Ovis aries: one gene and its partner. The protein of the gene in region 1 interacts with the protein of each later gene in a biochemical or structural test. Links are inferred from orthologs where the notes say so. Each region holds a gene or a part of one and is shown on either strand. Other genes may lie near its edges.

The links.
Region 2: the proteins of CALR (region 1) and MBL2 form a complex in vitro, tested with the Homo sapiens proteins (2 studies listed by BioGRID and IntAct). The link is inferred for Ovis aries from reciprocal best matches to the Homo sapiens genes CALR and MBL2.

What each region holds. Positions count from the first base shown.
Region 1 is NC_056058.1:10,923,567-10,927,910, forward strand, and holds the start of CALR (calreticulin), read right to left. Parts: upstream 2,825-4,344; 5' UTR 2,754-2,824; coding exon 2,663-2,753; intron 2,295-2,662; coding exon 2,193-2,294; intron 2,033-2,192; coding exon 1,829-2,032; intron 1,376-1,828; coding exon 1,281-1,375; intron 1,191-1,280; coding exon 981-1,190; intron 899-980; coding exon 785-898; intron 705-784; coding exon 561-704; intron 1-560. UniProt on the Homo sapiens protein: Calcium-binding chaperone that promotes folding, oligomeric assembly and quality control in the endoplasmic reticulum (ER) via the calreticulin/calnexin cycle.
Region 2 is NC_056075.1:6,145,133-6,149,697, reverse strand, and holds the start of MBL2 (mannose-binding protein C), read right to left. Parts: upstream 2,822-4,565; 5' UTR 2,746-2,821; intron 1,715-2,745; 5' UTR 1,706-1,714; coding exon 1,516-1,705; intron 1,121-1,515; coding exon 1,004-1,120; intron 1-1,003. UniProt on the Homo sapiens protein: Calcium-dependent lectin involved in innate immune defense. Binds mannose, fucose and N-acetylglucosamine on different microorganisms and activates the lectin complement pathway.

The DNA of each region.
Region 1 (4,344 bases):
CTTGAAAAGGTCTCCTGCCCATGCTCACATAACCACTACACAATACTACAGTCTAACATTGCAGTTGAAAAATAGGCTGCCTAGATTCAAACCTCAGCTCTGCCATTTACTATATATGATCTTGAGCTGGTGACTTCATCTCTTTGCACCTCAGTATCTTCATCTATAAAATGAGATCTCATTCTCTTCTTCAAACTATCTTTCCTAGTACAGTCTATGTGCCAAGCAGCATACTAGATGCAGAAAGTACATTGACAAACAGGACAAAAATTCGGCCCTTGTGAAGCTAAGTTCTAATGGGGTTATCTACCTGCCTTTCTAGGCTGCTGGATGCAATTGAGTTACTTCCCACAAAAATACTTGAAAATAGTACCTGGAACATATTAAGTACAAGCCAAAGCAGGTGCTGTTAAGACCCCGTAATGACAAACCAGGAATTTCTTAAAAGAAAGGGGGGGGGCACCATTTTGGAGTCTGCCCGCCCTTGTCCCCTTTTCTCCTGGGTTGACCCTGAGCACCTGAGGTCCCCTAGGGAGCCGCCTCTTCCCTCCATGTCTCACCTGCCAAAGATCCAAGCCTAGAACAGCAAAGTTTTCATAGGCGTAGATGTTGCTATCAGGGGAATACTCAGGGTTGTCAATCTCTGGATGGATCCAAACGCCCTTGTACTCTGGGTTGTCGATCTGCCTGGGCTTCCACTCCCCCTGCAGAAGTAAACTGACGGGTGAGCGAAGATCACTGCCTTCCCCATTGTGCACCACCCTCCTCAGAGTGCCAGACTCACCTTGTACTCTGGGTTCTGAATAACAGGTGGTTCCCACTCTCCGTCCATCTCTTCATCCCAGTCCTCAGGTTTCTTAGCATCAGGGTCAGGAATGTGCTCAGGCTTGTCCCAATCCTGAGGATACATTAGGAGGTCAGAATAGGAGCAGCTGTCCTCCACACGCTCCATGGTGGGGAGCCCCTGCCCAAGCACCAACCTCAGGCTTGGAGTCTGTGGGGTCATCGATCTTGGCACGATCATCCCAGTCTTCAGGCTTAGCGGCATCAGGATCCTTTATCTTCTTGGGGGGCAAGAAATCCCAGTCGTCCTCCAAGGAGCCTGACTCCACCTGGCTGTTATCAATCTTCACCTCATACGTATTATCAGGCCGCACAATCAGCGTGTACAGGTGGGTGAATTCATCGTCCTAAAGAGAATGAAAGATGAGTGGCCCCGCCCACCAGCCTGGGCTCAAAGCCTCCCCTCACAGCCATTTGTGACCACCCCCAAGGCACACCTTGCAGCGAATATCCTTGTTGATCAGCACATTCTTGCCCTTGTAGTTGAAGATGACATGAACCTTCTTGGTGCCGGGTCCACAGATGTCTGGGCCTTGGTGAGAAGCAGATCTTGGTCAGAACTACAGTCTGTCCACCATTACAAGCCCCTGCCCACCCCATTACAAAAAGACAACTTGGTTCTTAAACTCAGGACTGTCAAGCTGAAAAAACAAAATTCAGACCTTCTCTCTAAGGAACTGGGGGAGGACACTTAAAAAAAAACAAACCACACATCAGTACTCCAGAACTCACAATCTTCACTTGCACAACTAGGAACAAGGAAATGCCTATATAGTAAAACTGCACGAATTAGTGTGAAGTCGATGATAAAAATGCAGTAAGTGGTTCCTAACTATTCCCTCACCTTCCCTATGAAAGAAATGCCTAAAGCATGTAAGTGTTTTCTATGCTCTCAAGACCACCGTTCATGGGCGATAAAGAACTCCCCGGGTTTCAAACTCCCTCTAAGTGACCAGAAATCAGCACCAGGGTGGAGTCCCCTTACCAAACATGATGTTGTATTCGGAGTCCCCGTGCATGTCTGTCTGATCCAAACCAGCTGGAAACAGCTTCACATAGCCGCCCCCACAGTCGATGTTCTGCTCGTGTTTCACCGTGAACTGCACCACCAGCGTCTGACCCTTGTTGCTGAAAGGCTCAAATCTCGCCGACAGTGCGTAGAACCGGGCATCCTGGCTAGTCTGCAGGCCTACCGAGAGACTATAATCAGATCAGGGCTCAGCACCAACCCCCCGGGGAACCCTAAGGATGTAAAATACACACCAGTCCTCCTTCCTTCACCTCCCCTACTTCTAGGGATACCCAAACTCTGTCCTCCTGGATCTGAATACCCACTCCTAAGTTCTTACCTTTATCTTTCTCCTGGTCACCATAGAACTTGCCGGAACTGAGAACGAATTTGCCAAAATCCGGTTTGTGTTTGGATTCGATCCAGCGCTCGGTCCACCCGTCTAGAGGATCAAAGAGGCAGGTAAGCGCGGCGGTGCTGATCAACTCCCCACCAAACATCTACCAGGAGCCACAAACTGCTGGGAGCAAGGAAGGAGATTCCCCCCTCCCCCCAGACCGTCCCCACCCCAACCTCTAGTTTGACATCTCTGGTGACTTAAAAGATCCTCGGGCAAACCCTAACTCCCGCTTCGGAAAGCCGCTGCTCCCTCCACGCTCCCCAGGGACGCCGAAGGAAGGCTCGCCTTCGGCTCCAGTCCCTGAAGGAAACCGTGTTGGCCCTCTGAGCAGTAATTACAAGCGACACGCAGATATGGGCCGGAGGGCCAGCCGCGTCGTTAGGACGATCTCGAGCGGGACTAGCCGTTACCTCCGTCCAGAAACTGCTCCTTGAAGTAAACGGTGGGATCAGCGGCGGCCAGGCCGAGAAGGCCGAGCAGCAGCGGCACGGGTAGCAGCATGGCGGGCCGAGGGGGCGGTGGCGCGCGGGCCCTTTAAGTCACTCGTCCGGCAGCAGCTCTGCAGTGGGGACGGACGCCGCCGCCGGCCGTGCCCTTTTATACCCCGCCTGCTCTCAAACCAGCCTGGTCCGGCCTCTTGGTCCGCCTTCCTCACTTTATCATTGGTCTGTGGCCATAGCCCTGCCTTTCCATTGGACCCTTCTAGGCTCAGCATGTTAGGCTGTGCCTCGGAACGCTGGGTTCCCAGATGGCCGATTTCTATTGGCCGCACCACTGGCCAATGAAGGTCGACCACGCGTTGTGGGGGACGCCCACCGGTGAAGTCGGGGGGGCCTCGAGCCCCTCAGTCCAGGTCATGTGACCAGACCTCGGCCCAGCCCCGCCCTCCCTTGCGCGCGGCGTTCGGGATCTAGGCGTTTAAAGAACACGCGCGAGCTGTGGTGCTGCGTGAAGCTAGGGTCCGGCTCCATTCTAGACTCCACTCAAGGGTTGAGTGGGCAAGGTTTTCCTAGCGTCTTTCTACTCTGAGTTTGGGGAACCCCACCATTCCCACCTTGTCTTTCTCTTCCTTCCCACTCCTCTTCCCGTCCTCCACCCGCCTCCCTGCCCCCCCCCCCCCCCCCCCCCCCCGCCTTCCTCCCCAACCCCGCCTTCTCCCTCCCACACCTCCCTCCCCCGGGATGGGGCAGAGGGCACCGAGCCCTGGGGCTTCACTTCCTCCCAGCGCCGGAGCCCTGCAGGCCTGGGGGAAGAGTGCCTGTTCTCAGTACGGTCCCCGTAGTGACCTGGCAGCCTGTCAGACTGCTTCTGTGTGAGCTGGGGCAAGTCATTCAGCCTCTTTGAAATCACAGGATCTCTTGAAAGGCCAGGAGGAGCGACCCCGGCCAGCTGCTGTCCGGCGGAAATGCTTTTCAAGCTTTTAGGGATTTTCTGGGACAGAGGGAAGGACCCTGACGGCTCAAAAGATGTGACGACAGGTTGTGTTCCTCTCTTTGCAGCCTGTCCTTTACCTCCCTCCCATCCCCGCCCCCCAGCCGGTAAATGAAAGGGGTCGCCGCCTTGTGGTCTCCCGCAAACGGCCTGGTTTTGCAATTAAACGGCTGAATATGAGCGGGCAGGGGGTTCCGTTGGGGAGGAGAAAAAAAAAGAGGCAGATGGTGAGGAAGATAAGGTCCAAGAGAGGTGGGCAGGACCCCTGAGACTAGAGCCTTCTGAGGCCACAGGCACATGACTGGCAGTGACTGACACCAGCCCCATACCCCTAGGCTGCAGGAAGGAGGAAGGAGAACGGGGACTTTCCCAAACTGAGCAAATAGGCTCTGGACTTGGGAAGTAGGAATAAACTGGCGAAGGCGGGGGGTGGGGGGTTGGGGTGGTGGGGGGAGCGGATTCTGGCAAAAGAGTGGGGAGGGTGTACTTCCCCTCCAGTGGTGGGGACTGGGAAAGGGAGGTGTGACGAGTTTTGACGAAGTTGGGGTTCTACTTCTCCAAAACAGTATGGCGTATAACCTAAAGTGTTCCTCAGTGATGAAGCCCACACCCACCAACTCTGGGATGACCACGCTAGGCTTTGCATTGATATTCCTCCCAC
Region 2 (4,565 bases), on another chromosome or scaffold:
TCCCTGTTGATCTGTTAATAGCATTATAGCTCTCCACATGCCAAGCTACTCACTAATTGTTTTATTTCTCCAAACAAATAGCTCTATCATGGACAAAATTGTGGAATAAACTAATTGAAGAATGATTATGAGCTGGTGAATATTGACTATAAAGTCTACAGAGTTTCATGTTTGGGCATGTCTTGGTTTTGTTCATTTTGTTGTTTGTTTTTCCCTGAGTTTGTCCTGTTAATCAGTAAACTAGGATTTCTGTGAGTTGTCCATTATCCATGGGGGAGGGCATGAGACAAGCTATGTGTAGCTGATGGCAAAAATGACCTCGATATGATACAGCTTCTCTTAGGAAATGGAGTCTATTCCCCACTCCTTGAATCTGAGCTGGCCTTGTGACTTGTGTTGATCAATACAACGTGGTGGAAGCAATAGTGTATGTATCCCAAGCCTTAAGGGGCCTTAAACCTTCCGCTCTTCCTTTTCTTGTGAATCCTGTAATCACCTCTGTGTGATTAAGGCCAGGTGAGTCAACTGGAGGAGGAGAGACCCGTGGCTCAGTCGCCTTCATCACTCCAGCTCATGGGTGCACAATAGCCAGCGTGTAAGTGAGACCATGGGCCACCAGTTGACACATGAGTGAGTCCAGCTGAGACCAGCAAAGAAATTATTTGATTCATAGAATTTTGATTTAAATAAATGGCTGTGTGTTGTTTCTCATGAAGTAAGAGATAATTGACATACTATGTATCTACCGCTCTTGCTGGAGGCTCAGATCCTCCAGCAGGCATCTCACAAGGGTTTGGCTCCGAACAGTTTGTGACTCTGTATTCAGGAATTGGTAGGAATGCCTGAGGCTCTAAGTAACCTACAGAAGCTGGAGGCGGCTTAGTCAGGAAGCAGAGTTGGGCATCTCCCCAGGAAGCAGCAGAAGGGGCATGTCCCACATGATACTTGAGCCCACAGACCCCAGGGGACTTCAGCCTGGACCTTGCTAAAGTAAACTCCTTACCCATATTTTCTCCAGGGTCTCCTTTTTGGCCTGTTGGTCCTGGTATCCCAGGGATCCCTGGTGTTCCCTGAGGCCCCATCTTTCCAGGAGGGCCCTGCGAGCCTCTGAGTCCTTGACCTGTTGGAGGAAAAAGGAAACATGACTCATTATTTGTGTTCCTTTTCTATTTCTCAAAAAATATGATGCCCAATCCCTTCCCAGGGGAAAGGAGACACTGAGCTAGGGCTAACTTTTCTGAGCTGCTGTTTGTAAGGACCATAGAAGAAAAGCCTCCTAAGTCCCATGGGATGGTCTGCCTTGAGGGTCAACTCCCTGAGCCTGCAGGACCACCAAGTGTTAGCAGTTCCTGTGTGAGAGTCTGGGATGCCAGAATCAGAGCCGTGTCTCTGTTTCAAATGATAATATGTAGTTAAGAGTAATACAAGTGGCATAAATGCATTACCCTCCTCCCAATCCAGGCGGTTTCCTTTGGGAGATGAAGAGTCGCAGAGAAAGAACAGCCCAAACTGTACCTGGTTCTCCCTTTTCTCCCTTGGCACCATCACGCCCATCTTTGCCTGGGAGGCCGTTGATGCCTGCAGGACCACAGGCAATCACAGGGCAGGTCTTCCGGATAGTCTCACAGTTCTCTGCTTCTGTGTCTGCACAAGATGCTGTCATCACAGTCAGGAGAAGAAAAGGAAATGACGGAAACAGCGACATGGTCCTCACCTTGGTGTAAGAAAAGTCAAGGAAGGTGATCTCATCTTGTTCTCTTTATCTACACATATTTAGTGAGCTTATAACCTATACTGGGCACATGTGATGTAGAGATGGATAATCCATTCCTGGCCTCCAAACTGGGAATTTGGAAATGTATTAATAAATCCTTCAATGACACTGGTTAATTAATACTTCAACAAAGGTAGGCATAAATAACTGCATTGTTGAGAGGAAGGAGCCACCGGTGTCTGTCCTCTGGTGTTACTGCAGAAATCTCTGATTATGTTCTCTGTGTCCTTTGCAAGAGCAAATAGGCATACTCATGGCCAGAGACTCATGCCTGCTGGCTTAGGGAGTAATCATAAATGGAGACCTAGCTTGCTCTTGCACTTCTCCCACTTGGGCCCTACTGCCACCTGCATCCCATCCTTATATCTGGATAGTCCTTTGCCCTCAGTGTCAAGATAACCAACATCTACTCAGTGGCAGGCACTGAGCTGCAAGCTAATGATCCAGAGAGGAAGAGTCACTGCTAGTTACTAACCCAGCCACAATTAACTTGAGTTTGCTTTCTCTTGATGTTTCTTTCTCACTGGAAGAAAGACTTGCCAGGGGGAGAATTTTCTCTGGAAATTATTCACTCTCTTAGCCCAGGCAGGATGCTAGATCCCTCTCTATTTCCTGACAGGTGTTCTGTGTGTCTTATATGTCGAGATCACTGGCAATGTTCCTTGAATACCCGTCTCATTTTTTAATCCTAACATTTCATCTGATCTTCAAAGTTCTTTTCTAGATGTCCCTCCCCAAGGAAACCTCAGCATCCCAGGACCCAAGGTCTTGGCTCTCTTTGAAAACAAAGGTACAGTCTCATTTGCAAATGTTTAGGTGAATCCAGGAAAGTTCCAGATGCCCCAGCATAAACAGAAAAATAGACACTCCAGCATGGATTCTACTTGCCCTCTCCTCACCTCCCTCCAAGATCAAGTCCAAGCCCTAACTATATGACCCAGGACCCCAGATCCATTTACCAAAGTACTCACCAGGGCTTCTGCAGATCAGGGATACAGTCACAAGGAAACTGGCCCTCCAGCAGGGTGCTGGCAGATGCCTTAGGGTAAGAGAGGAGGCTGGGCTTGGTAATACAAGGTCCACTCAGCCTGGTGGACAGGGACCACATGGGCCTGCCTGGCCTTCAACCCCAGATTAATAAATAATTCTTAAGGGGATTTCCCAGGGCTTCTGATACAGTGCTGGGTGGCAGTTTTCTTCAATACTGCACGATCCCCACTTCAGATTGTCAGTATTTGACAGTTCTCATTTCTGGGCCAACATGAGTTGGTTCACATGGTTAACTGTGTTCAAGATTCATGTCTTCAGCAGAGAAACATAAAGATACCTATGAACGCACTCATGCTTGCGCCTACTAACCACACGCACACACGTGCAGATGTGCACAGACACACCCATGAAGGTGCACAAACACCCTGCTGCTTTTGACACACCAAGACCACGCCTGTCTCAGGCTCTGGACTTGGTCTTCACCCAGCCTGAATGTCCTCTCTGTCATGTCACTGGCTGGCTCCTTCTCTTCTATTGAAATGTTCCTGCCTCAGAGAACCCTGTGTTGACTACTTTAAGTGATCCTGCTCTCTATCATCTTAACTTTATTTCCTTTAATATTTCTTATATTCCATGATGTTATATTCTATCCATTTAGTTTACTTTTCTAGCTTTTATTCTGGTAAGTATAAACAACATAAAATTTTACCGTTTTGACCATTATTAGGTGTACAATTTGGCAGCATTAAGTACAATCACATGGTTGTACAGCCTTCACCACTACCTATCTCGAGAATGTTTTCATTATCCCAAATTGAAACTCTGTACCTATTAAACAGTAATTCCCTATTTCCAACCCCAAGGTCAGCCCCAGCCCTTAGTGACTGCTGTTTTATTTTTGTCTCTATGAGCTTAACTGCTCTTGGTGTCTTATATAAATGGAATCATACAGGATTTGTCTTTTTGTGACTGACTTATTTCACTTAGGTTCATGCCTTCAAGGTTCATCCATGTTATGACATGTATCAGAATTTCCTTCCTAAGTTTAAAAATTAAATATGTGTACATAACACATTTTGGAAACTTCATTTTTTATAGCAAATAAAAAAAAGGCCCTGGAAATTACCCAGTTATCCTTCAATAAGCAAATGGATAAATAAACCATGGAAAATTCACAGGAAAATAAGCAGCAATTAATACAATAACTTGGATGAATTTCAAGGACATTATGTTAAGTAAAACCAATATAAACCTGGAAGCTTACAGACTGTATTATTTTTTTCATATAATATTCTTAAAATGGCGAAATTAAATAAGGGAGACCATATCAGCAGTTGGCAGGGAATAGGGCTTCAGGGAGAAGATAAAGATGCCGAACAAGAAAGTTTCACTGTGGGTGAGGGAATAGTTCTGTGTCTTAACTGTGATGATTAGACAAACCTATCACTGCAATAGCATTTCATAGAACTAAACACCAAGAAAAAAGGAATTCAGGTAAATAATGGTTAAATGCAAGTAAAACCCATATTGTATTGTTTTGATGTCAGCTCGCAGGTTTTGGTACTTGTACTCTGATATGTTAGATCCTACCATTGGTGAATGATGGAGGAAGAGTACCCGAGACTTTTCATTATGATTTCAAGTTGTCTATGAGACTAAAATGATTTCACATGAAAAAGTTTCCAGAGGGAGTCTTAAGGAAGTTGTGGGTGATCTAAAGACTATCCTTGCTCCAGTCAGTGTTTTGTCCAAACTTCCCAATGGGAAGAGTCTGTGCAATGGCTTGAAAGTGAGAAAAAGT